Linked DNA regions of Danio rerio. The protein of the gene in region 3 binds, or shares a complex with, the protein of the main gene of each other region. Links are inferred from orthologs where the notes say so. Each region holds a gene or a part of one and is shown on either strand. Other genes may lie near its edges.

Region 1 (10,641 bases), on a different chromosome or scaffold from region 3:
TTTCAGTCCAACTGTGTTTACCTTCTTTACTATTATTTTTAGGATTCTTCAAGTTTGTGTAATTTACAGATTTAATCAGACAGATGGAGGATTCGTTTCCAAGTGTCTTCATTATAAGGCTTAAGTAGTGAGTTTGCTAATGAGACATTACCTTCCCACATGAAAAAATACTATATTGATTTAACGCAAACACTGTAGTCTTATTGAACCAAGTGTATTATGCTGCGTATACTGTAGTATTTCTAACACTTTAAATTATGCTACAGCATTCTGTGATACTAGCTGTAGGAAGTGAAATAAATACTGTAGTATACGTTAGATTTACTGTTGTAAACTGGTTTATTGTTGTGTAATATACCCTATAATCATAGAGCAATACGTTATTGATTCATTTGTTTACATTACTATAGTTGTGTTACCATAGCAACTGTAGAATCACCACCACAGATCAATTACTATAGTCGTTGTTACCCTAGCAACTGTAGTTGCCACAACAGATCAATCACTATAGTTGTTGTTACCATAGCAACTGTAAAATCGCCACAACAGATCAATCACTATAGTTGTTGTTACCATAGCAACTGTAGAATTGCCACAACACATCAATCACTAAAGTTGTTGTTACCCTAGCAACTGTAGAATCGCAACAACAGATCAATCACTATAGTCGTTGTTACCATAGCAACTGTAGAATCGCCACAACATATCAATCACTAAAGTTGTTGTTACCCTAGCAACTGTAGAATTGCAACAACAGATCAATCACTATAGTCGTTGTTACCATAGCAACTGTAGAATCGCCACAACATATCAATCACTAAAGTTGTTGTTACCCTAGCAACTGTAGAATCGCAACAACAGATCAATCACTATAGTTGTTGTTACCCTAGCAACTTTAGAGTTGCCACAACAGATCAATCACTATAGTCGTTGTTACCATAGCAACTGTAGAATCACCACAACAGATCAATCACTATAGTTGTTGTTACCCTAGCAACTGTAGAATCACCACAACAGAATAATTCAAGCACTTTACTGTAGTATTTATTTAAATTTGGATGATCCTCTTATGTGTACATATTATTATGCGACAAATCTCTTTGTGCAAAGTTTAATTTGTGATGATATTTCTTTAAATGAGAATATAATCATGTGTTAGAATCCTTAACTTTCTTACAGGCGTTGGATCTCTGGGTTCATCTGGGAGCTCCTGTCCTGTCAGAAGTAGATGGAGTCAGTGAAGCCGAGCAGGTGAGTCCTGTGCTAGAGTATTATATGTATATATGGGAGGGATTACATCGCAAGTAGGTTGGGTGACCTCCAAGTGGGAGGGACTTAAACCACAAGTAGGTTGGATTTAAGTGGTGTAGGTGGCGCAGACACTAATAAAACACGTCAGGTTACTGTAAGGTTGGGTTTAGGGTTGGAGTAGGTGTAGACATTTCATAAAGCACATTATTGAACTCTAAATATGACTAAATAAATAAAAACTCCAGGTTTGCACAGCAAACTTGGATCTCGAACGCCCACCCACTTAGAGCTCAAGTCCCACCCACTTGGAGCTTAAGTCCCACCCACTTGGAGCTGGCTTCGACCTCCGTTTATACCCTTCTCATTCCATCTGACAAGAGAGGAAGTCTGATAGGGATGGTTTAGAGATTATTTCATATCTAATGCAACATTTTGTTTGTTTGTTTTTATTGTTAAAAGCTAACTAAAAATTAAATGTTTCAATTAAACACTGTAAATTAATCAGATTTAGTTTATAAATCTGCATACTGGCACCTGACGGATAGAGGCAAATCTAGGCCAAGGCAGATTCTGCTTGACTAGTGTTTTCAGCATTGAGCTCCACTGTTCACTCTTATGTTTTTATTGCAGTAAGTTCTCATTTTAAAAGCTATACTGAATTAGTTTATGCCATTTAAAGTAATGTTTGTATTTATTTTTTAATACTATGAAGTGAATTAGGAAAATAGCCATGGCTACTTTAATGTAATATGGTTTGGTATATTTACCTTCGGCCCATGGCTCATGATGATATTTGTTTTGTGGGCCGTTAAATGAAAAAGTTTGTGCACCCCTGGTCTACACTGAAGCTAGTCACATGAGAAGTGCTCTGCAAAGTTTATAATATGCTGCTAATACTCTATATGCCAGCTCCGTGTGCAAAGACATCAACCGTTGTTTTCTGTGTTTGTTTACAGCCGTCCAGTCCAGGGGTGTTGTCCGTGTTGACCCCAGTCGTGATCAGTCACCTGACTGGTGTGGCGCTGTATATACTTCCTGTTTACCTGCAGGACATGGCTGTGGAGCACTTCCCTGTGTCCGAGACCGAAGCTGTGGTGCTGACCGCTCTTGCCATCTACACTGCAGGCCTGGCACTGCCACACAACACACAGCGGTAGGGCTGCACAATGTAGTGATTCAGCATCAATATCGCAATGTGTGCATCTCCAAGTCACATCGCAGGATACGCAATGTTGAGTCTTAATTATGCATGACCACTACAGGCATGTATTTATTGTATTTAACTACAGTATTTATACGATAAACTAATGAAATTAATAAGTTAAATGAACTCATATAGTGTGGAACCCTGCATTTTTGTGCAGCGTACGTCAACAGATGAAGAGAATTAGTTTTACTTAGGTCATGACCAGTTTATAACTGTGCTCCATCTTTATCCGCCATCATGTATCCTGCTTTTGTGTGTGCGCGCGCGCAGGTTGTTGTCTGGCGAGGGCACGGAGCAGGGCTGGAAAGTGCTCAAGCTGACGTCTTTGCTCTATCTAGCGGTGTTGTTGGGCTGCACTGCGCTCATTAACTTCTCGCTGGGCTTCATCCTGGCCGTCACACTGGTGCCAGTCACTGCCAGCATCACACCACACATGCTCAAGTAAGACTCGGCAATCTTATATAGCAGTTTACAGTTAGGTGCATAAATATTTGCGCATCGAAACAATTCGAACATGTTTGGCTTTATACACCAACAGAAATGAAACGGCTGTCCGCTTTAATTTGAGGGTATTTACATCCAAGTCAGGTGAACATTGTAGGAAATACAACAGTTTGCATATGTGCCTCCCACTTGTTAAGGGTCCAACAGTACTTGGACAGTTGGCTTCTAAGCTGTTCTATCGGTTACGGTCCACTCTCAAGATGAGATGCAAAGAGCTGTCACTATCAGTCAAGCAAGTTATCATTAGGCTGAACAAGCAAAACAAACCCATCAGAGAGATGGCAAAAACATCAGGGGCCTCATGTATCAACACAAAAGCTTTGCGTACGCCAGGTTTCAAGCTCAGAATGGCTCACGTTTGGATTTACTAACGATGAACTGAACGTGGGAATGTGCGCAGCTCCACGGCAGCTTTATGGCAGGCGTACGCACATTTTTTGTGCGTGTCTGTTTTATTTCCATTGGCGACTCCTAGAGGCAGTTGTGTTAAATTGCACTCTACAAAGTGTCAGAGCCATGCAATGGCAGCTGTATGTGACGGGTTCATCTAGTAGGTATGTAAGATTTCCATACCATACAGTTGACCAGCTAAACATTAAAGCACAATTTGCAGCAGTCGCCTGTTTTCCCAATGTAATCTGAGCTATCTACTGCACACACATCGCTATAAAGACACTATCTGAAGATGAATTTGCATGCTTGAATCAGAAATATTTCCATTCAATAAATGTGCAAATAAAATATGATGCACAGACTTATTAATGATTCCTACTTGTCTTTCTCGTGATAAATAGTTGGCAAAATCTGATATGTAGCGGGGGAAAAAAGAAGAGTTCATCAGACGCTGGATTCGAACCGAGTTCATGCTCGAACGTGTCCAAACATGTTGACATGTGCTTTACGAGCTGCGCCACTGATACTGTTAAGGGTACAGCAACATTGTACACCTATAAATCACACTATTTCTTTTTTAAATGCACTCAGTGCGATGTTCAGACTCAACTGTGTTAACCACATCAGCTAAACTCTCCCACTCTATTTTTTCTTTTGTTGTTAATTCCGGAGAACAAACGTGCAAATAACACCGCTTTCCTCCGGTCTACCGCCGAAAGCAGCACCTCAATTCACATTCTGTTCAAAGTTTCTCTTCTTGCTTGCTTTTGCCGTTGCGTTTTCGTTGGGTTTTGCCAAAGTAGAGTCATTAGCATATTCATACGGGGGAGGAGGCAGGGAGGGGTTTTGCGCTCGTGCATGTTGCGCTCAGTTTCACGTTCATTCAGATGTACAAAAGAATATGGGTGAGATTCGGCGTACGCATCGTTTCATACATCTGAATTTTTTCTGAATACGCACATTTAAAGCTTTGTGCGTACGCAATGTTTTAGTATGATTTCCACGCAAGTCTTCGTACATGAGGCCCCTGGTGTGGCCACAACAACGGTGTGGAGCGTTCTTATAAAGAAGGAACGCACCAGTGAGCTCAGCAGCACCAAAAGACCATGAAAAACAACTGTGAACGAAAACCAAAGAGTCTTTCTCTGGTGAAGAAAACACCCTTCACAGCAGTTGGCCAGATCAAGAACACTCTCCAGGAGGTAAGTGTATGCGTGTTAGAGTCAACAGTCAAGAGAAGACTACACCAGAGTGAATACAGAGGGCTCACCTCAAAATGTAAACCATTGGTGAGCCTCAAAAACAGGAAGGCCGGATTAGAGTTCTACAAAAGCCTTCACAGTGCTGGAACAACATCCTGTGGACAGATGAGATCAAGATCAACTTGTATGTGATGATTCAGTGATGAGAAGAGAGGAATATGGTGAAGCAAGAGAACTGCTCATGATCCTAAGCAGTGAAGCGTGTTTTTGAAGGGAAAGAAGTGGAATGCTGTGCAATGGCCAAGTCAATCACCTGATCTGAGTCCGATTGAGCATATTGTTCACTTGCTGAAGACAAAGCTGAAGGGAAAATACCTCAAGAACAAGCAGGAACTGAAGACAGTTGCTGTAGAGGCCTGGCAGAGCACTGACAGAACTGAAACTCAGCGTCTGCCGATGTTTATGTGTTCCAGACTTCAGGCTGTAATTGACTGCAAAGGACTTGCAACCTTGTATTAAAAAGTGAAAGTTTGACTTATTGTTCTGTTCAATTGCTTTTGGTCCCTTAACAAGTGGGAGGCACATATGCAAACTTGTAATTCCTACTGCGATCACCTGATTTAGATGTAAATACCCACAAATTAAAGCTGACAGCTGCAGTTAAAGCACACCTTGTTCATTTCATTTCAAATCCATTGTGTTGGTGTATAGAGACCAGAATGTTAGAATTGTGTCGGTCCGAATACTTACGGACCTAGCTGTGTATATTTATATATTCATTATCTGACAAAAGTCTTGTCGCCTATCCAAGTTTTAGGAAGAACAAATACTAACTTGACTTCTAGTTGATGATTTGGTGTCAGAAGTGGTTTATATGAAAGGCGAACGCCTCTAGATTTTGCTTGTTTGATCACAATAAAATCTGATCATGTCTTGATGTTGACTGATTTGATGAGGACAGTGCGGTCTGACTCTGCTCAGACTAAAGTGTCATCACTGAACAGAAATAATGTCCAGTATAGAATATAAAGTCCTGCTGCAGTGGAGACAGAATGAATATTGTGTCTGACTCCATCATGAGCTTGGAGGACTGCATCCATACATCTCTGACATGACTCAAATCACTGATTAATAAAGTCATCTGGAATGAAGAAGAAAGCGTTCAGCAGGACTTCCAGAGTTCATCAAGATCCTTTGTGTTCATCTTCAACGCCTCCTTCTCCATCTTACCTCAGACATGCTCAATAATGTTCATGTCTGGTGACTGGGCTGGCCAATCCCGGAGCACTCTTTGCTTTCAGGAGCTTTGATGTGGAGGCTGAAGTATGTGAAGGAGTGCTGTCCTGCTGGAGAATTGTCCCTCTCCTGTAGTTTGTAATGTAATGGGCAGCACAGATGTCCTGATCCCTCAGGCTGTTGATGTTGATCATCCACTCTGCAGATCTCTCCATACTGAATGAACCCCAAACCATGATTTCTCCTTCACCAAACTTGACTGATGTCTGTGAGAATCTTGTGTCCATGCTGGTTCCAGTAGGTCTTCTGCAGTGTTGATGATTGGGATGCAGATCAGCAGACGATCCAGCAGAGAAATCCACCTTCTGACACTTCTCCAAGTGATCAACTAGAAGTCGAGTTATTATTTGTTGCTCTTACAACTCGGATCGACAATCACCATTTACAGTTTTGATCAAAATATTAGTGATCAGTACTATCTCTAATCTGCACGTCTCCTGTTGTGTGTGTCAGATCTGTGAGCGCTCTGGCCATGGTGCTCCTCAGTCCAGCGTTCACCATCTTCTACTGCGTCCTCATCTATCAGGAGCTGATGGAGGCGCCGGTCAGCCTTCCTGAGGGACTCACGATCTTCCTCTCCGTCATTTCTCAGGGAATCCTCGATCACGCGCTCTACGGGTCGCTCGTCTATCCGCTTTTAGCGCTGTTCGTTTATCCCTGCTGGCTGATGTTCTGGAATATTCTCTTCTGGAAGTAAACAAGTGAAAGAGCAAAAATGATCCAAAATGATCAGACTCTTAAAGGTTTGTTGTCTTTCTGCACTGCAAAATTGCCTTCTTTCCTAGAGTTTTGGTCTGGTTTCTAGTCTAAATGTCTGAACATTCACAAATTAAGAAGCGTTTTCTTGACAACTACAAAATATTGTCTTGTTTTGAGAAATAATGAGTCAAAATTAAGTGAGTTTCTCCTTAAAGCAAGCAAAATAATCTGAATATCGGGGAGGAAAATAATATAATGTCACAAGGAAAAACATGATTATTTTACTCCCCCCATTGGCAGGTTATTTTGCTTATTTTAAGTAAAACTCACTTATTTTTAACTCATTATTTCTTTAAACAAGACAATATTTATTATTTGTCTAAGAAAATACTTCTCAATTTATGCATTTTTAGATATTTAGACTAGAAACAAGACAAACACTGCAGGTAAGAACAGTATTTACTTGCCGTGTACAGGCATTGTCTACCATTAGGAGCTGCTGGATGAAGATGTAAGAGGACGTCAGGCCCAAATAAAGAGGATTTTGTTGGTAAGAGTTTGAGTATTGAGCGTTCCTGTTTGCAGGAGGGTTTATTTCTTGCATAATTAATATAATAATACATGACTTTGTCTTTCTGACATGACTATTTGACTTTTATCAAACATGACTGCATGTGTGAGGACAGAAATAAAGACTTGCTTAAGAGAAACGTGCAGATTTATTCAGAAATGAATTGATAATATGGCATACTGGTTCATTTATTACATTATTATTATTATTATATTATAAAATACTACACATAGTTTGGCATTTGAACCCTGATATCCTGAATTATTTTATTTTTTTATTTTTTTATATGTATTTAAAATCTCGGCTTTGTAATTTAATATGTCTGTGAACTTAAATGTTAAAAATGCCATCTTGTTTTGGATTTAATTTCTTCATCGCATAATTTGATTATTGTTTGTCATTAAATAATAACTTTTAAACGTGTTGTCTGAGTTGCTGCTGCATATTTGTTCATGTGCTAGAAGCTAAAAGGGCGTCCACAAAGCTAACGTGCCCGTATATTAATAATATTAACAAAGCATTCATTAGGAATGGACAAACCTGAGGGAAAATTGTATGGCTTACGTTGATGTTTAAGTGAACTGAACGGTGAATGACAGAGAAAGAAAGCAAGAGAGAAAGAAAAGAAAGAGGAAAGTAAAGAGAATAAAAAGAGAGAGAGAGAGAATTGAGTGGGGGAAAAGAGAAAAAAGCAAACGAGAAAAGAATGAGAGAGAAAAATTGAGAGGGGAGAAAAGGAAGAGAATGTAAAGGAAGGAAAGAAAGAAGAGATTGAAACTGATAGAGTAAAATAGCTAAGGGAAAAAGAGAAAGAAAAAAAGCAAAAGAAAATAGGTAGAGAGAGAGAAAAGAAAGAAAATGAGAGGAAAAGGAATGAAAAAAGTAAGAGTGATAGAGAGAGAAAAATCGAGAGAAAAAAGAAGAGAAAAAAGAAGAGAAAAAATTGAAAGACTGAGGGAAAAGTAATGAAAAAATAAGAATTAAACTGAGGGGGAAAAGAGAGAGAAATCAAGAGAGAAAAGCAAAGAACGAATGAAAGATAGAAATTGGGGGAAAGTAAGTGAAGAAAAAAGAAAATTAAAAGGAAAAAGAACGAAAAAGATCAAGAAAAAATGAGAGAGAAAAAAGAAAAATTGAAAGAAAATAAGGAAAAACGAATGAAAAAAGTAAGAATTAAAGAGAGAGAGAGAAAAGAAATGAAAAAGAGAAAGAAAGATTGAAAGAAAAAGGAAAGAAAATGAGAGGGAAAGGAAGAATGAGGAGAGAGGAAAAGAAAGAAATTAAGGGGTAAAAGAGAAAAGGAAAGAGAAAATGAGCAAATAAAAGAATTCAACAAAGTGAGAGTTAAAGAGAGAGAAAGAAAAAAGCAAGAAGGAAAGAAAAATATGAGAGAAAAAATGCATGTGAGAAATGGAAAGAGAGAGAGAGAAGAAATTGAGGAAAAGAAGGTCATTTTAGGCTAGCGTACAAAAGGCCTTGATGGGGAAGGTAATGTCTGGCACTTTTAAATGACTTTTCATATCAAATATTGAATGTAATATATTTAAAGTCAGAGGGAGCTTCTTCATATGAAATAATTCTATAACACTAATATGATGGATTTATACTAAAGTGTGTTTATGTTACACATATGTCCAATAATTTGCATAATTCTGAAGTACAATACAAGGGTCATCACACTGGAATAGATCATATATATTTGAATTATTCGCCCCTCTCTGACATCTTTTTCTTTGTTAAAATATTTCCCAAATGATGTTTAACAGAGCAAGGAAAAAGTGAAAAAATCAGGGGGGCTAATAATTCTGATTTCAACTGTATGTATATATATATATATATATATACAGTTAAAGTCAGAATTATTAGCCCCCCTGAATTATTAGCGCCCCTGTTTATTTTTTTCCCCAATTTTTGTTTAATGGAGGGAAGATTGTTTCTGCACATTTCTAAACATAATAGTTTTAATAACTTATTTCTAATAACTGATTTATTTTAGCTTTGCCATGATGACAGCACATAATATTAGACAATATATTCTTCAAGACACTTCTATACAGCTTAAAGTGACATTTAAAGGCTTAACTAGGTTAATAAGGGTAACTAGGCAGGTTAGGGTAATTAGCATGTTATTGTATAACGATGGTTTGTTCTGTGTAGAATATCGAAAAAAATAGCTTAAAGGGGCTAATAATTTTGTCCCAAAAATGTTTTTTAAAAAATTAATAACTGCTTTTATTCTAGCCGAAATAAAACAAGTAAGACTTTCTCCAGAAAAAAAAATATTATCAGACATACTGTGAACATTTCATTGCTCTGTTAAACATATATATATATATATATATATATATATATATATATATATATATATATATATATGTATATATATGTATATATAAAATAAGGAATAGAAAAATTACCAATCATACAGGCAAAACGTCATTAAAGGGATAGTTCACCCAAAAATTAAATCAATCTGTGTGCGGGTGAGTAAATAAACAGGAAATGTTCAGTTTTGGGTGAATTCTCCCTTCAAATTCCAGCCAGTTTGTCATCTTTCTCTGTGCCTAATAATTTATTCTGTTACTTGAGTTCTTGATTCTATAAGGCAGTGATCCTCAAACTTGTTTCATCAAGTACCACCTCAGAAAAAAAATAGTCTCTCCAAGTACCACCATAATGAGCAGTATTGAAACACAGTGGCGCAGTAAGCCCAGTAAAGCAGCTGAAGCTCTGCACACTTCAAAAACGTGGCAGATTAATTCCTATTATCAAGAATATTTATTATTGTCAGCCGCTTTAAACAGAAATAGGCTGAACGTTAACACTGCACTGTGCTTATATGTAAAAAAAACAAATTAAAAACGGCCACATTTAAATTAAAATGTGCTTAAGGTAAAAAGAAAAGTGCTGTACATTTACATTTAGTCATTTAGCAGACGCTTTTATCCAAAGCGACTTACAAATGAGGACAAGGAAGCAATTTACACAACTATAAGAGCAACAATGAACAAGTGCTGTAGGCGAGTTTCAGGTCTGTAAAGTCTAAGAAGGAAAGTATTAGTTATTTTTTTATATTTAAGTACAGTTAGTGGTATGTCCAGAGAGGCAATTTGCAGATTAGGAAGTGAAGTGGAGACTAAATAGTTGAGTTTTTAATCGTTTCTTGTAAAGTACTAACAAATATAGCCAATACATCTACACTTGAAAATTTGCCTGGACCTTAGAAATATACAAGTGGTGCTCGCTGCAGAGCCATTTGGGCGAGCTGAGCTCCAGCGAGGGGGAGCTTGAGCTTGAGCTCCACCTTTTTTGCACTTCTTCGAGTGATGTCACTGGGGGTAGGGTTAGGGGTGGGGTTGGTGTACGCATTAGGTGCGTTCGACTTCATGCAGCGCTGCGCAGATCAATCGAAATCTGTCTTAAAGCGGTGCATTCTGGTTAGAAATCTTGTCCGAATTGATGCTGCGACGACGCCACGTGACTGTCACATGTGGCATCAAAGTACCGCGACAGCGCTC
Region 2 (10,641 bases), on a different chromosome or scaffold from region 3:
TGATATGGGAAGACTCTAGTTTTAAAGAACAACTTTTTTTTTTTTTTTTTAGAAATAGGGTCATTTTATAACTCACCTAGAGCTAATTAGTTGAGTTTTACCATTTTTAAATCCATTCAGCTGATCTCCTAGTCTGGTGGAGCACTTTTAGCTTAGCTTAGCATAAGTCATTGAATTGGATTAGACCAGTGGTTCTCAAACTGTGGTACATGTACCACTAGTGGTATGCAGGCTTCCTTCTAGTGGTACGCGGAGGAATCAATTACAGGGCTCGAAATTGCGACCATTTTGGTGGCATATGCGCCCGAAATTTTATCTATGCGACCTTGAAGAATATTTGGGAGCATTTCTGCGAGTGCTTAAAATTGTAGTGTGCGACCAATTTTTACTGCAAAATGTTCAGCACATGCACGGATTCGGGAGACATTCATGCAGAATGCATCTCTTAGCTCTTTGTCTGCACTTGAAATGCGAAACGCAGCGCTCAGGAATGGTTTAAAACAGTTGTCATGTCAACTTGCTGCAGTAAACAAATCCAAGTCCGTAATGCTTGCCCGCCTTCGCGCTCTTCTTATTGGCCCACCACTGCTCTAGCACTGAACGCGAATAATTGGTTAATATGGTGGTTAATATGTGGTTCTGATGACAGAGAGCTACTACCGCGAAAAATTGTAAAGCGCTGAAGATGAGAATGAAGATAACATAACACTTGACAGATTTTGTTTTAGAAACCATGGCATCTACAGTTACAAATAATGACACATCTTACTAGTTATACCGTTAACACGTTAATTCAAGCGGTGCGTGCAGGGCCGGTGAGCGCTCCGTGTATGCTTTGGTCACTCAGTTATGTTATAAAAATTAATTTTCTTGTGATAACGGGATTTTGTTGAGACATATTTTCCTCACGCTTGCATATAACGTTATATATGATTTTTTTTTTTGCTTGTTAGTTTGATTAGTGTTGATTTCAAATACAATAAATATGTTTGTATAAAACTTGTAGTAACGGTGCTCATAATTGGTGGGTGCGACTAAATTTTGGCTGATGCGCCTAAATTTAAGTTAGGAGCACCGGTGTTACCAAGCAAAAAGGTTAATTTCGAGCCCTGAATTATGTCATATGTACATGCTACATATATTTCAAAATGTATTAAAAATGAATTACATATGAATATGATGACAGAGCATATATTTCTAAGGTCCAGGCAATATTTCCAGGTGTTGATGAATTGGCTACTATATTGGCTACTATATGTAATGTACTGTACATTTAAGTACAGCAGTTTTTTTTTTTTACTTTTTAAGTACAGTAACCTACCAATTTTAACTTTTAAAAGCACAATTTAATTTTTATGTTGACGTTTTTAGGTTTTTTGTTTGTTTGTATTTTACATATAAGCACATTCGATGTTAATCAGACTATTTATAATGTTTAAAGTGGCTGACAATAATAAATATTCTTAATAATAGGAATTAATCTGCCACATTTTTGAACTGTGCAGAGCTGTAGCTGCTTTATTGGGCCTACTGGGCTACTGTATTTTAATACTGCTCATGGTGGTACTTGGAGAGACAATTTCTTTCTGAGGTGGTACTTGATGAAAAAGATTTGAGAACCACTGGATTAGACCATAAGCATCTCACTCAAAAATGAGCAAAGATTTTTTTATAATTTTCCCCGTTTAAACTTTTTAGACTCTTTTATATTTACACTGTGCACTAAGCTGCAGCAGGCACAATGATATTATGTGGTGCCTGAAGATAGCAGTACTGAATCGTCTTTCACAAACATCTCTAATGATTTAGGCAGCACCTGAAAATCTCCTATGCTGAGCCAAGATGAAAGTGCTCCCCACCAGTCCCGGAGATCATCTAACTGCTAAAACTGGTAAAAGAGAAATCTTAAGACATGCTCAAATATTAAAATTTAAATGAAAGCTGCACTGCTCATTTGCTGGAGTTCATCATCTTAAACAAGTCTCAATGTGTGGATTTTTACAACTGGGTCCTGTGCTATGAAGCTGGATTAGCTGGCATGGCCGGCTAAGTTTTAGTTTAGTTGCACCCGTCCTGTGTTTTCAGATACCATAAAGGTAGCTCACCTTTATAGGATTAGTTCAACCAAAAATGAAAATTCGGGCGAAGCAGTGGAGCAGTAGGTAGTGCTGTTGCCTCACAGCAAGAAGGTCGCTGGTTCGAGCCTCGGCTCAGTTGGCGTTTCTGTGTGGAGTTTGCATGTTCTCACTGCATTCGCGTGGGTTTCCTCCGGGTGCTCCGGTTTCCCCCACAGTCCAAAGACATGCGGTACAGGTGAATTGGGTAGGCTAAATTGTCCGTAGTGTATGAGTGTGTGTGTGAATGTGTGTGTGGATGTTTCCCAGAGATGGGTTGCAGCTAGAAGGGCATCTGTTGCATAAAAACTTGCTGGATAAGTTGGCGGTTCATTCCGCTGTGGCGACCCAGGATTAATAAAGGGACTGAGCTGACAAGAAAATGAATGAATGAATGAAAAATGAAAATACTGCTATTAATGAATTACTCACCCTCACATTAATTCAAACACTTCAGACATTTGTTAATTTTCAGAACACAAATTAAGATATTTTAGACAAAATCTGAGAGCTCCCTCATACTCCATATACAGGAATGGCTTTAAAAAAGTCCTCAGTGTCAGTATAAGGAGGGCATTTATAAGTGTGATGTGCTTTCTATGGGTGTCGTGCTCCTGACATACATCTCAAGTGCACCTGTGCTTTGTTTCAAACAGAGGACGACGAACACAGATATCCGGCGTCAGGGGCGCCATAGCACCATAACAACCCCTTGTATGACCGTGCGAGTAAGCAGAAGGCATCACAAAACTGTGGAAAAGTGATATTGCGTTGTTTGGAATATACCAATATTGGTGCTATGAAAATATAAAGATGCAGAGCTCCCACCTGCAGTGCGATGTTGTCATTAATGACGATATTTCCAATCTGGTCGAGCAGCTGAGCCAGAGAGGTGATGGTGGTGCTGGCAGTGGCAATGTTCTCCACGCTGCGGCTCCACATCAGCCTGTCCAGCTCCCAGTCGGCCAGTCCAGCGCTGCCAGGACTCTGAAGAACGAAGCCTGATGGAGGATGAGTTTGGTGGACACCCAACATGAGCCTGAAAACACCAAATGAGGGATGACTTGAAACACGTTCATTTGGGCAAAGCAGGCATTTGTGAAGTCAGACGGTCAAGAACTAACCGTAACTGTGCCAGGAAAACACCCATCACTTTAGCCATGTTAATGCTGATATCGACAGGACGTTCAGATTCAGGGCCGTACAGATCATTCACGTTGTACACCTAAAGATTGAGATGAATACAGGGCTGTTTGCAACATTAATATTTCACATGGAACAATTTACAAAATAATGTTACGTTTAGAGATGTATCGTCCAAACTCTGTGTGTTTATATTGTGTCAAATGTCTTTCTCCCACTTCTTTTTTGCCTTGATGCCTCCCCTCCTGAGGCCCGGTTTACACTAGTGTGTTTTAGTTTAAAAACAGCGTTTTAGAATGAAAACGACCCGTAATCCACACTAGCGTTTCACCCAGCATTTCTGAACAGCTCTCCATCCACACCAAAACAACTGAAACGCACATCATGAGACCACACACACACTCGGGCATTCGCTGCAGCCCATCTACCCAGATGAAAGCTGTGCTCTTCAGACTGCTCATCATGCATCTCCCGCTGGATCTAATCCCAATATTTTTCTTAAATGCGATATTTCATTCATCTTGTTGTCTTTATCTAACGACGTATTCCCAGACTTTGGTCTTTTGAATCTATTACTTGTTCTCAGGTAACGTGTTTTGGCTGAGCCCAAAGATAAGTACATAATTAATGTAACCACGTACAGTTTCTGTATATTGACTGATCACTTGCCTTTATTTCCTATAATGTATAAACTTATTGTATGTTATACTTTTATAATGGCCGTTATCGATTATTAAAACTGATATTCAGCAGAAGAGAGGGTATGTGTCTTATTTTCACTGAAAATGAAAGGAGGCAGTTGTTATAGGCTCCGTTTGGTTATAAATATGCATTAAGTGAAAATGACGCTCATTTATGCTGCACAACACCTCAGCATTTCTGCTAAGTTGTTAATATCAAAATGAAAACAGGCAGTTGCTTATATCAAGTTTTCATTTTATTGTTGAGAAATTGAAACAACGTAGACAGGTTGATGTGAAGGTTATAAAGTACACTGTTCCCCTTTGAAGATTTACCCGTGTCCTCAGGAGTCTGTTTTCCATATCAAACTGGCAAAGTCTGAACTTACAAGAAGAGGATGCAGGACTGAACTGTGTGTAACGTTAGACTACTTAATATTGATGAAAACCCCCAATCAGGTAGGCGAATGTCGGCAGCCCAGCCTCCGTTTTCAGATGTCTCTGTTTTCCCCCATCCACACTGAGACAGAGCAGCAGTGTTTTAGGATGAAAACGGCCTCTTCAGCGTTTCCAAAATGCTCCGGTTTCGGCGCTCGAAAACTCTGACGTAGTGTTAATAGATGGCGTAACTGGCAAAACTTATGTGTTTTAAAATGCATAAGTGTAAACGGGGCCGGAGCTTCAAGCAGTTTGCTGATTGCTTCCCACAGCTGTGTTCACTTACCATGGAGGAGTGAGAGGGGATTAAAACACAGGCCAAACAATTGGATGTTGAGAATGGAGCGAGAGAGGAACCATTCTCCAGAGCACTGGCTGAGTTTCAGTTAAATTAAAGTTGTTGTGAACTGTTGGAAAGTTGAACTTTTGTGATTTAAAATCTGACTTGTTGATGATTTGTACTTCTTCTCTGTTGTGGCTAAGAGCAGAACTACGATTTAAACTTTTTTTCTTTATTTTGCCTTTTCCTCCAGGAAGCAGTAAGGAGCTGGATGACCTTTCCCTTTTTCTCCTGTTTTGAGGTCAGTCAGGGAGTCAGTGTAGTTTTGCTGTTAATTTTCATCATTGTCTTGAAGTTTATTTAGAGGTTTTACACCCAGACAGAACCCCGTTTTTGTTTATTATTTTGGCCTTATTTCCCTCCTGAAGCTAGAGCTTCCTTAAACTACATTGTGCGTGACTGAAATTTTTTGTAAATAGTTTTTTTGATCTTTTTACCCGTAGTTGTGTTGTGACTGGTACCAGTTTTGTGCTCTTTAAATAAAACCAATATTGTTGCGTTCATTGTATTCCCCTAGACTTGTGTAGGACGCAAAAATAATAATAAAACAAAATAAAAAAAAACAGGGCTATTTGAAAATTAAATAAAAACATCACATTCAAATCTACTCAAATCCATATAAAAGCCAGTCAGTGGCTACCAGTTTACAACATACTTAAAGCTTTTAGAAATGCTGAGGACTAAGTGATTTGTGGAGAAAAAAAATGCGTGGTGTTTTAAAAAAAAGGTGTTCATACTTGGATTTACCCAATAAACCATGACGGGAAGAGAGTTTAAAAGATTTTAAAAGTCTTTACGTTTCCACTTTCACGCTGTTTTTGACCAGAATTAATAGGTCTATAAAATAATATACATATTATGATTAATTGTATTTATTAATAAATATATAAAATAGGGCTGTCAATTGATAAAAAAAATCTAATTAATCACTATTTTTGTGATTAATCATGATTAAAATCGCAAAACGCCATATTTATTACAAAAATAAAAACACAGGCATGTAAGTGCCATTTGAATTTCAAAACAATCAGTGCCAATAACAAACAAAAATGATTTCCAAGATGGATTCTAAGAGGATTATAAAAAAAATCCAAAATACAGGCATTGAAGATATGGAAAAATAGAAAATTATAATAATGATAAAGTATTGAACACAAACAATTGTACTCATTGTAAAGTTGTATTATGAGTTGAGAACGTTATTTATAAAGTAGAAACAATTTTGCTTAGTCCTCCTGAACATTTAGCCAGTTGCTAAGGTAGTACAGTCTGTTGACATTATCAGGAGACAATGTGGTCAGGGGATACATCAACCGGCACGTACCAAAGCTTATAGACTTCTTACAGGGACTTTGATCTCAACATCTCTAAACATTTAATTCTAAACAGCTTTAAGGGATGCGGACACAGCAAACACTACAGAATACATGTAGAATGCCTTAAAGAGACTTTCGACACAGTCAGCGATGTCAGGCGTTTCCTCTTGTTGCAAGGAATTGCACACACACACACACAGACAACATGCGCACCCGGTGAGTGACTCCCTTCAGATTCATCAACACGCACGATCGCATTCATCAAATTTGCTTAAACTAAGCGTTCTAAAGTAAGGCTGTATTTTAAAAGCAAAGATTCTGACACAGCAACGTGAAGCAGATGCTTTACAAATGTTGTGTGTGGTGGGGAAACACGGCAAACCTAATGAAACATTTGAGGGCGCATGGAATCAACTTAAAGGCAGAGAAATGGGCTGTCTTTGACAACTTGCAACATCATATGGCACTTTCACGAAGTACATTTACATGGACATAAATACTCCGATGTATTATGATTAAGATAATACTCTGATTAAGAGTCTAGCATGTAAGCAGCGATTTTTTTGATTACCTTAAAGGACCACCCGAGTCTCGAAATGCAGAGATTTTTCTTTCCGTTCGCCATGCGGTATCAAATTCTATCAAATAGCACTCTTCCAGCAGCGCTTACTTCATATTTTCATTCAGTAATTGCCACGGGGCATGGACAATATGTTGCTGAATGAAAGTGAACTGCTGAACTGCAGTTAAAGTCTAAAGATTAAAAATGAAACTCTGGAGGAAACGCTGGATAGCCTGGTGATGCGGCATTAATTGTTTTATACGAAACTTTAATTCTAAAAGCGCTTCCTCGGTCTTATCCATATTTCTTTGCACGTGAAACACACGTCGGCCACAACTTGAAATAAAAACTTTGACTTTTTTTTATCGCGTTAAACAATTTAAATTAATCATGTGCGTTAACACGTTAATTTTGACAGCCCTAATAAAAAATAATAAATATATAGTAATGATAATATTTACATCTCCAATTTAACAAAAAGTCATATAGAACCTTACATTTTCTAGGTATTTCTGAATTTGAACCCATTCATTCTTAAGCCATAATGTGGAAAATATTCAATACATCATGTAGCCCCCCCCCAAAAAGGTAAATCTTAGAACAGTACCATGATGCCGCCCCAGCGCGGGCTGTGAAAGGCATTGGTGGGCACCTCTCTTCTGCTGTGGTCTCTGATGAACAGAGGAGAGTGATGGGCATCTGGCACATACAGCAGGAAGTTTAGGACGGGGTTTGAGGAAGCAGCGTTAGATCCTGTGTGAAAGACGATAGCAATGTGTGTCAAATTAAATAAGAATAGAAATATTTCCTTAGATCAGTTCATGTCAATTAAAAGAATCATATTTCACCTAGTCTGGCCTCCACGGGATTGATGACATGAGAAAGGCTGTCCGCATTCAGTGTATAGGCCGACACACTGTTATCAAAACGAGGATTCACTCCCAGAACTGCATAATACAGAATCTAAAAAAATAATTACAAATGTTATAAAGGTTATTTGATTAAACAATGTAATAATAAAAAATGTCTATCTAAACATTTTAAAATAGTTTTTTTCCTGTGGTTGAAAGCTGATCTGTCAGTTTAATCTCACATGATTTTTCATAAACTATTTAATTGAATTAAAGTAATTTTTATTACTTGATTATTATCAATGTTAAAAACGAATCTTTTTCTTTCAGGAATCTGTTCTTTGATTACCACCTTGACCACATTTATTTGAACAGTATTTTAGAGCATTATTATTATTATTATTGAAGTTCACCCTAGGATTATTATAATTAGTCTATCATAGTTAAAAAACAAATCACTACAAAATTGTGCAATCCTATTCAACACTGATGATGATCATTTCAAGAAATGCTTTTTGATGACCATGTTTTACATATAAATTGTTTTGTTTATTATTATACATTCATTTGAAAAGTTCCAATAATATTTCACAATATTACTGTTTTCACTGTATTTTTTGAGCAAATAAATACAGCTTGTGTGTGTTTCAGATTCTTCTTTCAGGTTCTATAAAAACTGTGACAGTAAAAAAAAAAAATCTACAAAATATTAATGACCACACAAAACATCTTTATGGGTAACTATAAGTTGAATAAACTAATTTAAATTTATAAAGTAATTTAAATGCAAAAAAAAAAAGTTATTATAATAAATAATTTTTTCATTCATTCATTTTCTTGTCAGCTCAGTCCCTTTATTAATCCGGGGTCACCACAGCAGAATGAACCGCCAACTTATCCAGCAAGTTTTTACGCAGCGGATGCCCTTCTAGCCGCAACCCATTTCTGGGAAACATCCAGACACACACACACACTCATACACTACGGACAATTTAGCCTACCCAATTCACCTGTACCGCATGTCTTTGGACTGTGGGGGAAACCGGAGCACCCGGAGGAAACCCACGTGAACGCATTGAGAACATGCAAACTCCACACAGAAACGCCAACTGAGCTGAGGCTCGAACCAGCGACCCAGAGACCATCTTGCTGTGAGGCTACAGCACTACCTACTGCGCCACTGCTTCGCCAATAAATCATTCATATTTAACATATATATTTTTTTTTATTATAATATTACTTTACATGAACATTCAATAATGCACACCAAAATAGTCTTTGTGCAAAAAAGTTTCATAATTAATATATAAAGACTACTTAATACATAAAAAACACATTTACACCCCTCACAAATCTCTCATTTAAATGAATATTTTTTTTATAGAAAACATTACAATATTATATTTGTGCATGAACATAAAATTTGTACTGAAGCCAAATTTGGAGCTTATGTAACAAAATAACTTACACAAAAATTAGTAGCACAAATTTATGTTACAGAAAAATATAGAAAAAAAAACATTTTCAAAAATAGCAAAGGAAAAAAAAAAAATCTAGAGAAACAAAAAATTATTTTGTTCAAATTTTGCAGTTTGTAATTTATTTTTCCAAAATTTCAGATTAATTTAATTTCATTATCTTTCCGTTTCTAAAGTTGTTTTGTGACCAAAATATTATTTTAATAAATATATCTGTTGAATAAATCAGTTTTGTTTAAATGCAGCAAAATACACTGCCTATATTTACTGAGAAATGGATAAAATATTCATTTTCAAATGGGGTGTACTTATATATGCTGAGCTCTGCATACACAGACTGAAATTAGTTTAAACCAGGGGTCACCAATCTCGTTCCTGGAGGGCCGGTGTCCCTGCAGGGTTAAGCACCAACTCGCCTCAACACACCTGCCTGCATGTTTCAAGTATACCTAGTAAGACCTTGATTAGCTTGTTTAGGTGTGTTTGATTAGGGTTGGAGCTAAAATCTGCAGGACACCGGCCCTCCAGGAACAAGTTTGGTGACCACTGGTTTAAACAAACACAAATACTCTACTAACATTAGAAAAGTGAAGAAATCTGACCCTAAATCAAGACAGAATGAATATAGCCTGTATTCTTTAAATAAATATACTCCTGCTCTACATTTTAGCATTACTCCATGTTTCTTTATTGGTCTCAAGCAGGTAAAAAAAACAATCAAAGCAGCTTTAACAGCCATGCAAATATACAGTGCTATAAACACTACAGTACACTGAAGTTTCTACTGCTAAATAACAACATATGAGCCAACCATAAAGTAATTTAATGTCATTTGTAGGTTCCCACAAAAACTACAGTCTTGTTGTTACCTGAGAATCCACTGAAAAGTTGGCAATAGGAGCGAGTTTGTTCAATAACGGCTGAATGTAGCTATGAAGAGCACCCTCGATATCCCAGTGAAGACTGTGTGACTTCGGGTCGGGGTTTAACAGACTGAAAGTGATCTCATAACCTAAGAGAAGGTAAAATGTGATTAAAGTGATAGTTCACCCATTCAGTTACAATATCCTTATCATTTACTCACTCAAGTGGTTCTAATTTTTTGTTAGTTCTTTATTCTGATAAACACAAAACAAGATATACTGAAGAATGTTGTAGAAAAGAAGCCATTGACATCTATAGTAGGAACAAAATAAGGAAATCATGGTTGTTGTTTTTTCTAGTATTCTTCAGAATATCTTCCTTTGTGTTCAACAAAAGAAACCAACTCAAACAGATATGGACCAAGTGGAGGATGAGTAAATGATCTCAATTTTCATTTTTGGGCTGAACAACCTTTTTAAATGGTGCTTTAAAGGTCCCATGGAATGCTTTTAAATGTGCATTTTTTATTGGATGTTTTGAAAAATGAAGACAATGTGGGGCACAGAGAACCCAGTCCCCTTCTTAAAAAAACAGCCAATAGTGTTTTGTTTTATCACAGCCCTGCCAGTGGGAGTGGTTTAGCTCAAGAGCATCAAATGAGAAGCGTCTTGAAGGGGGCGGGACATGTCAGATACTAGAGAGCATTTGATTAGTCAAGATTTGATGAGAAAAAAATCGTTGATCCATTTATGGGATGGTAACTAACTGAAAGCTCCAGATGAATGCAAATTATGTCGCTGTTCAGTAGGGCTGCACAATATGTAGTTTCAGCATCGATATCGCAATGTGATCATT
Region 3 (10,641 bases):
TTGGAAAATTTCTTTTTGAAACTTATTTAGTTTCAAAGTAATTAGGTAATTTTTATCTTAATTTGAATGTATCCTTTGTTGGTCAGTTATCAATAAACAAGAATAACAAATAACAACTGAGGTGATGCACTTCAAAAGATGTCTGCTATATGAGCCAGAACATGAATTGCTGTGAGATTGCGCTGGTTTGTTAAAAAAAATAAAAAACTAGCCTAAATAAAATCAAAGATAAATATTTCATTTATATGATGACAAAATATGTATATGACTATTAATGACAAATATTTGAATAAGCAAGAAATGCTTTTGCAATGTTTTCGCAGCACTGAACGTGTTTTCAGAATACTTCACAGGAACAAACTGTGTTGTAAAATGAACTAACTCAGAAACACCTAGTGAGAATGGAGATGTCTGCATATTTGTGCCAGTCTGTCAGATAGAAAAAGAAGTTAAAGTTTGCAGAACCAATGATGTGACCCACCCATAAGTAAATATGCAGCCTATTTTTTGATTATCTGACCGGCACATCCCACTGATATACCCAAGAAATTATGTGCTCCTATTGCACAGTGTCACTCCCGTGACGGAACTCATCATAAAGAACGAAAAAAATTAAACATGCTAGATTTTCAGCGATGGTGTTGTGAGGCGTCGCAGACATGGTTTCAGTTGTTGTGAACCATGCCACATTACACAAGAAGAAATTATTGAATATTGTATCACGACGCCCATTTGTCATTTACGAATCCCCATGACACCCTACATCAAGGAAATTGTGCCAAAGTCGTTACAAATTTGTGTGATCTGACCAGGCTTAAATTGATTTAGATTTTCTGAAAAATTGCGATTGTTGAAAGTATATATTTTCAGTTATGAATTAAACATTTACTTATGAACCCTGTTTAAAAGTTAAACCATTCATTTTGTGTTGTAATAAATAAATAGAAATAGAATAGAATAGATTCCCCATCAAATGTTTTTTCTTCCATCAAATAAAAATATCAGGCTACCTTAAATTAATCACTCTATGGAAAATGTATATTTAAAAATGTTCCGCTTAAATCTCCGTCAACATTTTTAATAGAAGTCATTAATTTAAAGATTATGTCTTGAGCTTCTGGTTACCTTAGAACTTGTGTGCTTTTTATTTCCTCTCTCACTCGCAGTTTATGTGTGTGATGAAAGACAATGACAAGGCGCATATGTAAAGTAGAGGCTACTATAGCATATAACAATTTTGTTGTTTACATATGATATTGCATTCATTTGCATACATGTCTTTATAGTTATAAACTAAAAGCCTCAGTTTGGTATGAAAAAAAGTTGGTTAGTTGGCTGTACACTAAAGCCTAGTTCACACTACAGGATTTTAAACATCGGCAGATTGCTGTGCCTTTCTTTCATGACTTGATTTTGTGTCTTTTAATCGCTGTGGTGTTCACACTACGCGACACTACGTGAATGATCCACAAGAGGGGGGTCACACACTACAGCTCATTCAAGCTACCAAACCACAGCCAATAAAATTTTGAGGGAGGAGTCTTCAGACCAAGCTGAGCATTATTAGCTGCTTGTGTGCTGATTACATCACTGACAGCGTTTCAAGCTTTCAAGGAAGCATTTAAAAACATCCCAGCTGATGCATCAGTGAATTATCAATCATCTGCAAGTTTTTTATTTTTGTAATTTTATAACTCTTTGAAATAAAACTAACATATCTATAACACCATGAGATTTTCTAAATATCAGTGTATTTCTTTCTAACATTGTTTTTTTTTTTAATTACAAAACAGTAAAGGACTGAGCATTTGTACCTTTAATTACCATATTGGTCAAAATGACTGCATGCATGTCTGATACTTTTTGCTGTGACTTTAAATATGTGTGCATTTTTTGCCTAGCAACTTCCTGCTAACATGAACAAATCTTTCTTATAGCAAAAACATCAATATACTTCAGATATCTTTCAAAACAGCATATTTTGTGCCACGAAATAGCTCCTGTTCGAAAGTGAAAATGAAAGCCAAGACCTTTGCGTGTTTTAGTATTTTAACTACATATTTATAGGCTGTATTACCAAAAAAAGATAATATTTTTAGGGTAATGGTGTCATTAAATATGATGCCAGACAATTAAAGCTTAATTTTATTATCTCAATAGAAGCTTTGAATGTAAATATGATGAGACAATATGACGTTTTATATGAGAACGGTCAGAATGACCAGTATGGTAATTCTAATAGTTACAGAATTCTAGTTTCACAGTTAATATACCCTACTCTCATGTCTGTGTTAACGCAGAATGAAGCGAGTGCACCGATGCCCATTCTGACCAATCACAGATGTTTCTGTTGAGCTCCTGAGCACACAGGCATTCAGCTCATGTTGATATCCTCTCTCATTGGCTGCAGCTCATCACTACATCTGACCACATGTGGGGTTGAGTCGGCCGACTGCTCTGAAATATTCAGCATGCTAAATATTGGATTTCCGTCTGCGAGGTGTTGGCGACGCGTCAGCGAGCCTCGTTGATGTGTTGTTCAGTAGTTCACACAAAGACTGGCGAGCGCCGTGCACCCGCAGAAATTTTCCCAATCCCAGCCTGATCCATCGGCAAGCTCGTTAACTTCCAAATCAGGCTTAAAATCCTGTAGTGTGAACTAGGCTTAAATTAGCACAACTATAGTCTATTTGTTGTGTTTATGAAAGGAGCGTGCTCTGATGGAGAGAAAATTTTGATCCTCCGACTTATGGCCGGCTTGTTTCCAAAGCAGAGCACATTTCAGAAAGTTTTGTTTTGTGGCTTCTTTCTTCAATTGCGCAAATAAACAGAAGTGTTTATAACGTGGATCCAGGAAAGAGGCAAGCAGCATCAGCGCTGGTTTGGCATCAACTTATCTGTGTCAGACTGTGACCAGCAATATTCTTCTTTCATTTCGCTTCTTTGGCAAAATATGTCTGTAGACACGTGTTACCATCCCCCAAGCGAACAAATATGTGTTGCACATTTATGCAGCCAATTATAAAAAAACAATAATACAGTTTTTTTTTATTATTTAACTGATACGGTAAATCAGTTAAAAACACTCTTTCGGTTAAGAGTGAATCGGTTATTATGAGCATCCCTAAATTCTACACAAAGCCCCATTAAAAAGCATACTTTAGGTTAAAAAAACAATACCTATAAAAGGTAAAATTGTGTGTGAAAATACCAACTAATACCATTTTAAAATGTTTTATGACATAAAATGAAAATGTAAATGAAATGATAATATGAAAATGTTTAAGTGCACGAATTTGGAAGAAAAAGTGTCTATTTATTTCATACTTCTGTCACAACAGGCTAGTTTATACTTACAAACTGCTAAACAATGGCTGGTCCAGCGTGAAGTTGGTGTTCATTGCAACCATACTTGGCACAAGGGCACTGACCACAGAAGATCTGTAATAACACATAAATCAGATGTAGACACTGCAAAGTCCATACATTTCAAAATATGACAGGAGTCTTACCCGACGTAGAAGCCATGGTTGGGATCAGGGGTGTATTCAGTCCATTTGAGCAGAGCCCTATCAAACTGCACCGTGATCTCTGTCATGGAGTGGGGGGGCAGCTGAATCAACATCTCCAGCAGATGAGGACGGTGGCGGTCTTTAGCCGGCTGGTAGTGAATGTAGCCTACAGGAGAAAGCATGAAATGTTAGTTCTGTTAACTTTACCATGGATGTAGTCTGATCTGATACAATTGAAGCATCTAATGATTCTTAGATTTTGTTGGTGTGTGTGTTTGGTTTAGTACTGGAAATCTAATTTAGAACAGTTATATAAATATTGTATAATATTTTGCACATTACATATTATAGTAAATCTGAAAACTTCCCATAATCAAAGAACTGCCCTAAAAGCTATATCCACATACAAATCATATATATAACTTTGGCGTATCCAGTAAACAAAATGAACTCACTGGGCTTGTTTTCTCTGCTCTTGCTGGTGACTGTGAGCGTGTGAATGTACAGCTGCAGGTACCAGGGCACTGAATCCATCAGCAGTACAGGAAACGCCCGAAACGGGTGGTTATTGTAGATGACTGTGTGGATTTCTCCCGTCTGCAGCCCAAAACCAGACACATAGCGTTCTGCATGCAGCAGCGGACGCAGCATATCACCTAAAATGACAACCAACACAAGAAAAATTCACCTATTTAAGTGATGATAAATAAACACAGATGTGGATTTAAAGGTATCAATTCTGCAAATTATCTTTTTCGCAAAGGCCAATCAGAACCTGAAAGAATGATAAGGAGCCACAGGTAATAATTTAGTGTTTTCTCTATTTGTTTTTGACTTAAGTCCCAGTAGCATTGAATATTTAATGTTTGAATGTAATTTAATGTTTTATCTAAATCAGCATTATGTAATTTTTTGAACATAACCCTGCTGTTGTTTTTCAATTCGGTCACACTTAACAATAAGGTTTCATAAGTTAATTAATTTTCTAGCATAAACTAAGTATGAACAATACTTGTACAGAATTTATTAATCATAATGCAACATTTATGCATTATTAAAATCCAAATTTATGCTTTAATATGAGTTAATATTAATTAACAATGAACAACTGTATTTTTATCAACTAACTAACAAGAACAAGTTCTTTAATAAATTTATGGTTCAGTGTTTGTTTATGTTTGTAAATGTCTTAACTAACATTAACTAATGCAACCTTAATTGTAAAGTGTTACTAAATTCTGTACACACTGTACATTGGGTCAAAAATGTATGGAGCCAGATCAGTCTCAAAAAACAATACATTTACAAATACAATTCATAGATCTACAACAAAATTCACATTCACAAAATCTAATTTCTAAATTCAAAACCTGATTGGAAAATACACAAATCCAATTCGTAAACTTAAAACCTGATTAATAAATACACCAATTCAATTCATAAATTCAAAACACGATTCAAAAATACACAAATTCAATTCGTAAATTCAAAACACAATTCAAATATACACAAATTCAATTTGTAAATTCAAAACATGACTCATCACAAATCCAATTCGTAAATTTAAAACACAATTCATAAACACAAATCCAATTCGTAAATTCAAAACACGATTTGAAAATACACAAATCCAATTCGTAAATTCAAAACATGATTCCTAAGTACACAAATCCAATTAGTAAATTCAAAACATAATTCCTAAGTACACAAATCCAATTTGTAAATTTAAAACACGAATCTTAAACACAAATCCAATTCGTGAATTCAAAACACGATTTGAAAATACACAAATATAATTCATAAAATCAAAACATGATTCATAAGTACACAAATCCAATTGGTTCATTCAAAACACAAATCGAAAATACACAAATCCAATTCATACATTTCAAACATGATTCAAAAATACAAATTCAATTTGTAAATTCAAAACACGATTTAAAAATACACAAATTCAAATTGTAAATTCAAAACACAATTCAAAAATACATAAATCCAATTCAAAAATACATAAATCCAATTCGTAAATTCAAAACACGATTCAAAAAAACAAAAATTCTATTCGTAAATACAAAACATAATTCATCACAAATCCAATTTGTGAATTCAAAACATGATTTGAAAATACACAAATACAATTCATGAATTCAAAACTTGAATTATAAACAAATCAAATTCGTAAATTTAAAACACAAATGGAAAATACACAAATCCAATTCATGAATTCAAAACATGATTCAAAAATACACAAATTCTATTCATAAAATAAAAACATGATTCATCACATATCCAATTCGTAAATTTAAAACACAAATCATAAACACAAATCCAATTCGTAAATTCAAAACATGATTCGAAAATACACAAATCCATTTCAGAAATTCAAAAAATCATTCACAAATTCAATTTGTAAATTCAAAACATGTGTCACAAATATGGCTGACCACACACATAATTATTTTGCTTTTTATTTAACAAATGAGCCAACTTTTGCCCAGGGAAGACTCGAAACCTGATTCCATGGTATTTATGACCCAAAAGGAATGTGCCATGCAACACTGAACAAAGAGCGGTTCAGGACTTTTTTAAGCTCATTGCTGAAGACTGATATTTTAATGTAAACTTTACTCTCTCTTTGTGTGTAATCATGTGTTTTGCAATGTTTCCCTTGCTCCTGTATCAATATTATTGGTTTTAATACTTACTTGCTGTACTAATTAATTGTTGACATTTTATGTTAATACGAGTGCAACATATTAACATTTTAAGAGACTTTAACATTTCTGCCCCGATTTGCATAAAATTTGCCTATGCAAATTCCTCTGCCTCGGACAAAGCGCCATAAACCATGATGCAGAGAGGTTAGTTTCTAATTGGTCAACTTTCCATGGAGGGTGGATCCGAACCCGCCCTATAAAGCTTGGGACTAAAGTAACGCCCTCTCTCTGCTCTGAAACTCTCTGCTCTGAAACCTCTTCAACTCTCTGCAACTTCTTCAGAAAGCACTCTTCTCTCAATTCTCTTCTCTGAATCTGCAACGACCTAAGATCGAGACCTAAGCAGAGAAACCTCCAAGAAAGCAGGTGGAGACCTAGACGGAAAGGGTTAAATCGCACAGCTCGGACCTACACATCTAAGTTACTTTCTTTTCTTTATTTTCCATTGAGAGTCTACTTAAGTTGGTCAGTGGTCAGCACAACTGGTCCCTTTTGCCGCTTCAACTTCAAACACCTACTCATCCCACTCCAACCCTCGCGAGAAAAAGGAACCACGTAGCAGAACCACGTGCTCAGCCAAGGGAGCTTCTATACATCACATAGACAGACGCAAGTATCCACTTTTGTCTACATCTGAACTGGTGTGAACTAAATGCAAACCTAAAGAGACAACAGAAGGGTGAATTTGATTACGTTGGGTTTGCTCTTACAAACTCAGAGGTTTTCCATCATTACATTCTCTCAACCTCTCATTTTACCTTCTTTACTCTCCTCAACACTTGTATGAATGTGTGTTTGTGTTAGGTGTTAGTTTCTGTTAGATTAGTCAAAGTTTAATTTTGTATAAAGAAAGGTGTCTGTGTATATTTATGAATCGAATGTCTTAAACTTCAATCTTGTTACCCTGCTCAAACTTAATGGGTTTTTATTTTGATAGCATCGCTGGACGATTCATTTGTTCGGATCTAAAGAGACGATTTATTTGAAGCCCCGTTCAAATGAATCTCCCTCCTGTTAGGCTAATCCGCTATATATATGATGGTGCAGAAGATACGCGAGCACTGTAATCTAAATCATAACTCGCAACATTATAACGGTGGAAAAGGTGCGGGAAGATAAACCTTGAGCTAATTTATTACAGAAATAATGATGTAGATATGCGACCACTTTAATCTACATTATAATTTGTTACAGATTATTAATGTAGATATGCGTGCAAAGTTAATCTACATTATTATTCATTTGCTACATTGTTCAATGGTGGAGAATAAACGCAGCAAAATATTACACATGATTAATCACAAATCCAATTTGTAAATTTAAAACACGATTAGACAATACACAAATCTAATTCGTAAATTCAAAACACAAATTGAAAATACACGAATCCAAATAGTACATTTCAAACACGATTCAAAAATACACAAATTCAATTTGAAAATTCAAAACACGATTCAAAAATACACAAATTCAATTTGGAAATTCAAAACATGATTCATTACAAATCCAATTCATAAATTTAAAACACGAATCATAAACACAAATCCAATTCGTAAATTCAAAACACGATTTGAAAATACACAAATCCAATTTGTAAGTTCAAAACTCTATTAAAAAATACACAAATCCAATTCGGAAATTTAAATTACAATTCAAAACTAAACCAATTCTATTTGTAAATACAAAACACAAATTATAAACTAATCCAATATGTAAATTCAAAACACAATTCGAAAATACACAAATCCAATTCATAAATTCAAAACAGGAATCATAAACACAAATCTAATTTGTAAATTCAAAACACAATTCGAAAATACCAAAATCCTATTTGGAAATTTAAAACACGAATCATAAACAAAAAATTCAATTCGTAAATTCAAAACATGAATCATAAACACAAATCCAATTTATAAATTCAAAACATGATTCATAAGTACACAAATCCAATTAGTTAATTCAAAACACAAATCGAAAATACACAAATCCTACTCATAGATTCAAAATACGAATCATAAACATAAATCCAATTTGTAAATTCAACACATGATTTAAAAATACACAAATCCAATTTATAAATTCAAAACACAAATCATAAATATGCAACTCCAGTTCATTTGGTAAAAATAAATGGTTTTTACAAGTGAATTTACAAATTGTGTTTTCAGATTTACAAATTGGATTTTGTAAATGGGACTTGTGCTGTGCATCTATGAGTTTCATTTTGTAAATGTATTATTTCTGACACTGATCTGGCTCCATAAAAAATACCTGCCGTCACCAACCCTTTAAAATAAAGCAGCTTAATTTAATTTCAGTCCTAAATCCTCTTTTTCGTGGTTTTCACCTTTAATGGACAGGACAGTGGAGATTACAGACAGGAAAGTGTGGGGAATGGAGAAAGGGAAGGATCTGCAAAGGACCTTGAGCCAAGATCTCAGGTCGTTGTGAGCACCTCAGCATTATATGTCGTCGCTCTAATCACTAATCTATTGGTGTTGACTTCAATCCTCTATTTTGTGAGAAGACACAACCTCAAATTTATCAAAACAAACGTTGGGAATATCTAGGTTTTCCCTTTTTAGTTTGGAGTTTTTCATCCATGTTTAATCAGAACACAACACTCATTTTTAACTCAAGTAAAAGGGTATATTTTTCTAATGCTAAAAGTACCTGCAAAACGTTTAGGAAGACAGTATTCATAAAAGGTAAAACAGCAGATTCTCATTGTGTGTATGTTTGGGTGCATGTATGTGTAGGAGTATGCATGTGTTTGCTAGTACTTTTTGTGGTAGCTTATGGGTAGTATGACACGGAATCTGCGTGTGCAGAAATCTGCAAATTTCCACAGATTTTTAGCCCATCATTGAGCCTATTTATTTAGATGTGTAAATGTGTGTCAAATTATATTTATTTTGTTTTGTTGTATGTTTTGTCGTATTATTCATTTTAGTAATGTTATTGACTAATATGCAAAGTTCATTTGATTTATTTACAATACAGTTTGTCTTTTAGTAGATATACATTATATGAGAAACTTGCTTTGTTTACCAATTAAGTGGATCTAATTGGATTTGCACTGTAAATTTTAAATAAAAGTTAAAATGGGATTATTTTTATTTCATATATAAAGTTTTTAGCTTAGATACTTCCAAAATCATTCCATATAAATACGCAGATTTTTTTACTAAATTTTATTCAGGAACAGCAAAAAATGTCTGCACATTCTGTTTGGCCCTAGTAAAAATGTTGTAGCCTAAATGTGTGCAGCCATCATGAAAATAGAAAACTATTCTTATTTTTTTTTATGTTTGAGGTCATTTTACAAAAAAGTCACCAGATTTCTAAATAAAAAAACAGAAAAAAAACCTAAACAATGTTTTTTTTTTGTTTGTTTTAAAAATGGTGCCTGGGTCATTTTTTACACTTAAGTCAACAGGAGGGTAAACGTAACGTCTCTGAAATGATTACTGTGATAAAAAGACATTTAACTTGACGAATTCTGCTGTAAAGGCTTCCAGAACTGCCTCCAGAATAAAAAAAAGTAAAACCACCCAACTGCACCAAAGGCTGCAGATCTTGATGGTCAATTTTGATTTTGTGTCTGTATTCGATTTTTTTGATGACCTGCTTACATCAACTTAAAAGTGACTCGTATCTGATCGTCTGCATTTACACAGCACACGGCAAAGGCGCAATGACCAGGAAAAAAAAAGGTGAACGCTGACTAAACAGCAGATAATTGAAGAGTGCTCTTTTCTCTATTCCTGTGTGTGATCTGTTTGCAGCTTTTGACAAGCTGTTTTGACAGAAAGGTTTCCATTTGTCCATCTTCTTTTGATATATAGGCTTTTATAACCTATTAAGGCATCTTAATGTAATGTCTATGGGGTGATTTATGCACGTGATGCATGCACTAGTTTTATAATAGATTGTATTGGTTACGTGGCCGAAATTGCGCTCTCTCGCTCTGGTGAACATGCTTAAATACCTGTGCTATATGACAATGTAAAAGCTGTTTAAGTCCTCGGGTATGAGATTTAAAGTTTCGGACTCTGCTTAAGTCTGTTCTATAGTTTTAAATGACGCGCGACTCACATTGACAGGTGAAAATCCGATCTACCTGCATACACTGCAGACACGAGAACACAGATCTGATTTATTTCAGATAAATTTCCACATATGAACAAGGCCCGGATCTGATTTGAGTAAATCAGAATCCATATGATTTGTTCCTGCTTACACCTACATGGGCCATATCCGATCTGTGCCACATGGAAGAAAAAAATCATAATAAAGTCACTTGAACAGTGCAGTGTAAATGTGGCCAAACAAAATCATACCGCTCTCTCCTTTCCAGCGCAGCAGAAGATTGAGTGAGCGTAACTGTCCAAATGTTTCAGCTCTGGTCA

The links.
Region 1: the proteins of pigt (region 3) and gpaa1 are in contact, whole or in part, in a cryo-EM structure (PDB 7W72), measured with the Homo sapiens proteins. The link is inferred for Danio rerio from reciprocal best matches to the Homo sapiens genes PIGT and GPAA1. Residues at the interface, in NP_057021.2 of Homo sapiens: Gln91, Gly92, Phe93, Arg95, Arg97, Tyr98, Ser108, Phe211, His212, Thr213, Ser214, Asp247, Phe249, Ile250, Arg340, Gln355, Tyr357, Val358, Ser359, Gly360, Tyr361, Gly362, Leu363, Leu371, Tyr373, Lys441, Asp459, Pro460, Asn461, His462; in NP_003792.1 of Homo sapiens: Arg97, Ser98, Val99, Gly100, Glu102, Tyr104, Arg134, Ala135, Pro136, Arg137, Ala138, Ala139, Ser140, Thr141, Glu142, Arg171, Gly172, Gln173, Ile174, Tyr199, His200, Asp201, Val202, Leu212, Gln213, Gly214, Arg215, Ala218, Arg311, Tyr312.
Region 2: the proteins of pigt (region 3) and pigs are in contact, whole or in part, in a cryo-EM structure (PDB 8IMY), measured with the Homo sapiens proteins. The link is inferred for Danio rerio from reciprocal best matches to the Homo sapiens genes PIGT and PIGS. Residues at the interface, in NP_057021.2 of Homo sapiens: Pro26, Arg27, Val63, Ser64, His65, Tyr66, Arg67, Lys71, Gln75, Lys79, Tyr80, Val133, Gly136, Lys191, Leu193, Pro194, Cys195, Ser196, Lys198, Ala199, Glu270, Pro271, Pro273, Leu274, Tyr526, Ile529, Cys530, Cys533, Val536, Ala537; in NP_149975.1 of Homo sapiens: Thr9, Glu12, Val13, Gly16, Ala19, Ala20, Phe23, Thr230, Pro238, Lys239, Tyr244, Ile247, Glu248, Val251, Gln256, Val270, Asp271, Ser272, Gln273, Ile274, Tyr276, Tyr277, Met279, Ser309, Arg310, Ser313, Ser314, Ala315, Ala316, Phe513.

What each region holds. Positions count from the first base shown.
Region 1 is NC_133177.1:1,625,376-1,636,016, reverse strand, and holds the end of gpaa1 (glycosylphosphatidylinositol anchor attachment 1 protein), read left to right. Parts: exon of another isoform or gene 1-695; intron 696-899; exon of another isoform or gene 900-1,179; coding exon 1,180-1,251; intron 1,252-2,207; coding exon 2,208-2,404; intron 2,405-2,728; coding exon 2,729-2,899; exon of another isoform or gene 2,900-3,258; intron 3,259-6,306; coding exon 6,307-6,550; 3' UTR 6,551-7,542; downstream 7,543-10,641. UniProt on the Homo sapiens protein: Component of the glycosylphosphatidylinositol-anchor (GPI-anchor) transamidase (GPI-T) complex that catalyzes the formation of the linkage between a proprotein and a GPI-anchor and participates in GPI anchored protein biosynthesis. Binds GPI-anchor.
Region 2 is NC_133196.1:42,860,636-42,871,276, forward strand, and holds part of pigs (GPI transamidase component PIG-S), read right to left. Parts: intron 9,935-10,641; coding exon 9,792-9,934; intron 7,557-9,791; coding exon 7,442-7,556; intron 7,347-7,441; coding exon 7,201-7,346; intron 3,340-7,200; coding exon 3,239-3,339; intron 3,154-3,238; coding exon 2,943-3,153; coding exon of another isoform or gene 2,763-2,942; exon of another isoform or gene 2,751-2,762; intron 2,636-2,750; exon of another isoform or gene 51-2,635; intron 1-50. UniProt on the Homo sapiens protein: Component of the glycosylphosphatidylinositol-anchor (GPI-anchor) transamidase (GPI-T) complex that catalyzes the formation of the linkage between a proprotein and a GPI-anchor and participates in GPI anchored protein biosynthesis.
Region 3 is NC_133198.1:12,517,721-12,528,361, reverse strand, and holds part of pigt (GPI transamidase component PIG-T), read right to left. Parts: coding exon 10,573-10,641; intron 4,169-10,572; coding exon 3,968-4,168; intron 3,679-3,967; coding exon 3,513-3,678; intron 3,442-3,512; coding exon 3,358-3,441; intron 1-3,357. UniProt on the Homo sapiens protein: Component of the glycosylphosphatidylinositol-anchor (GPI-anchor) transamidase (GPI-T) complex that catalyzes the formation of the linkage between a proprotein and a GPI-anchor and participates in GPI anchored protein biosynthesis.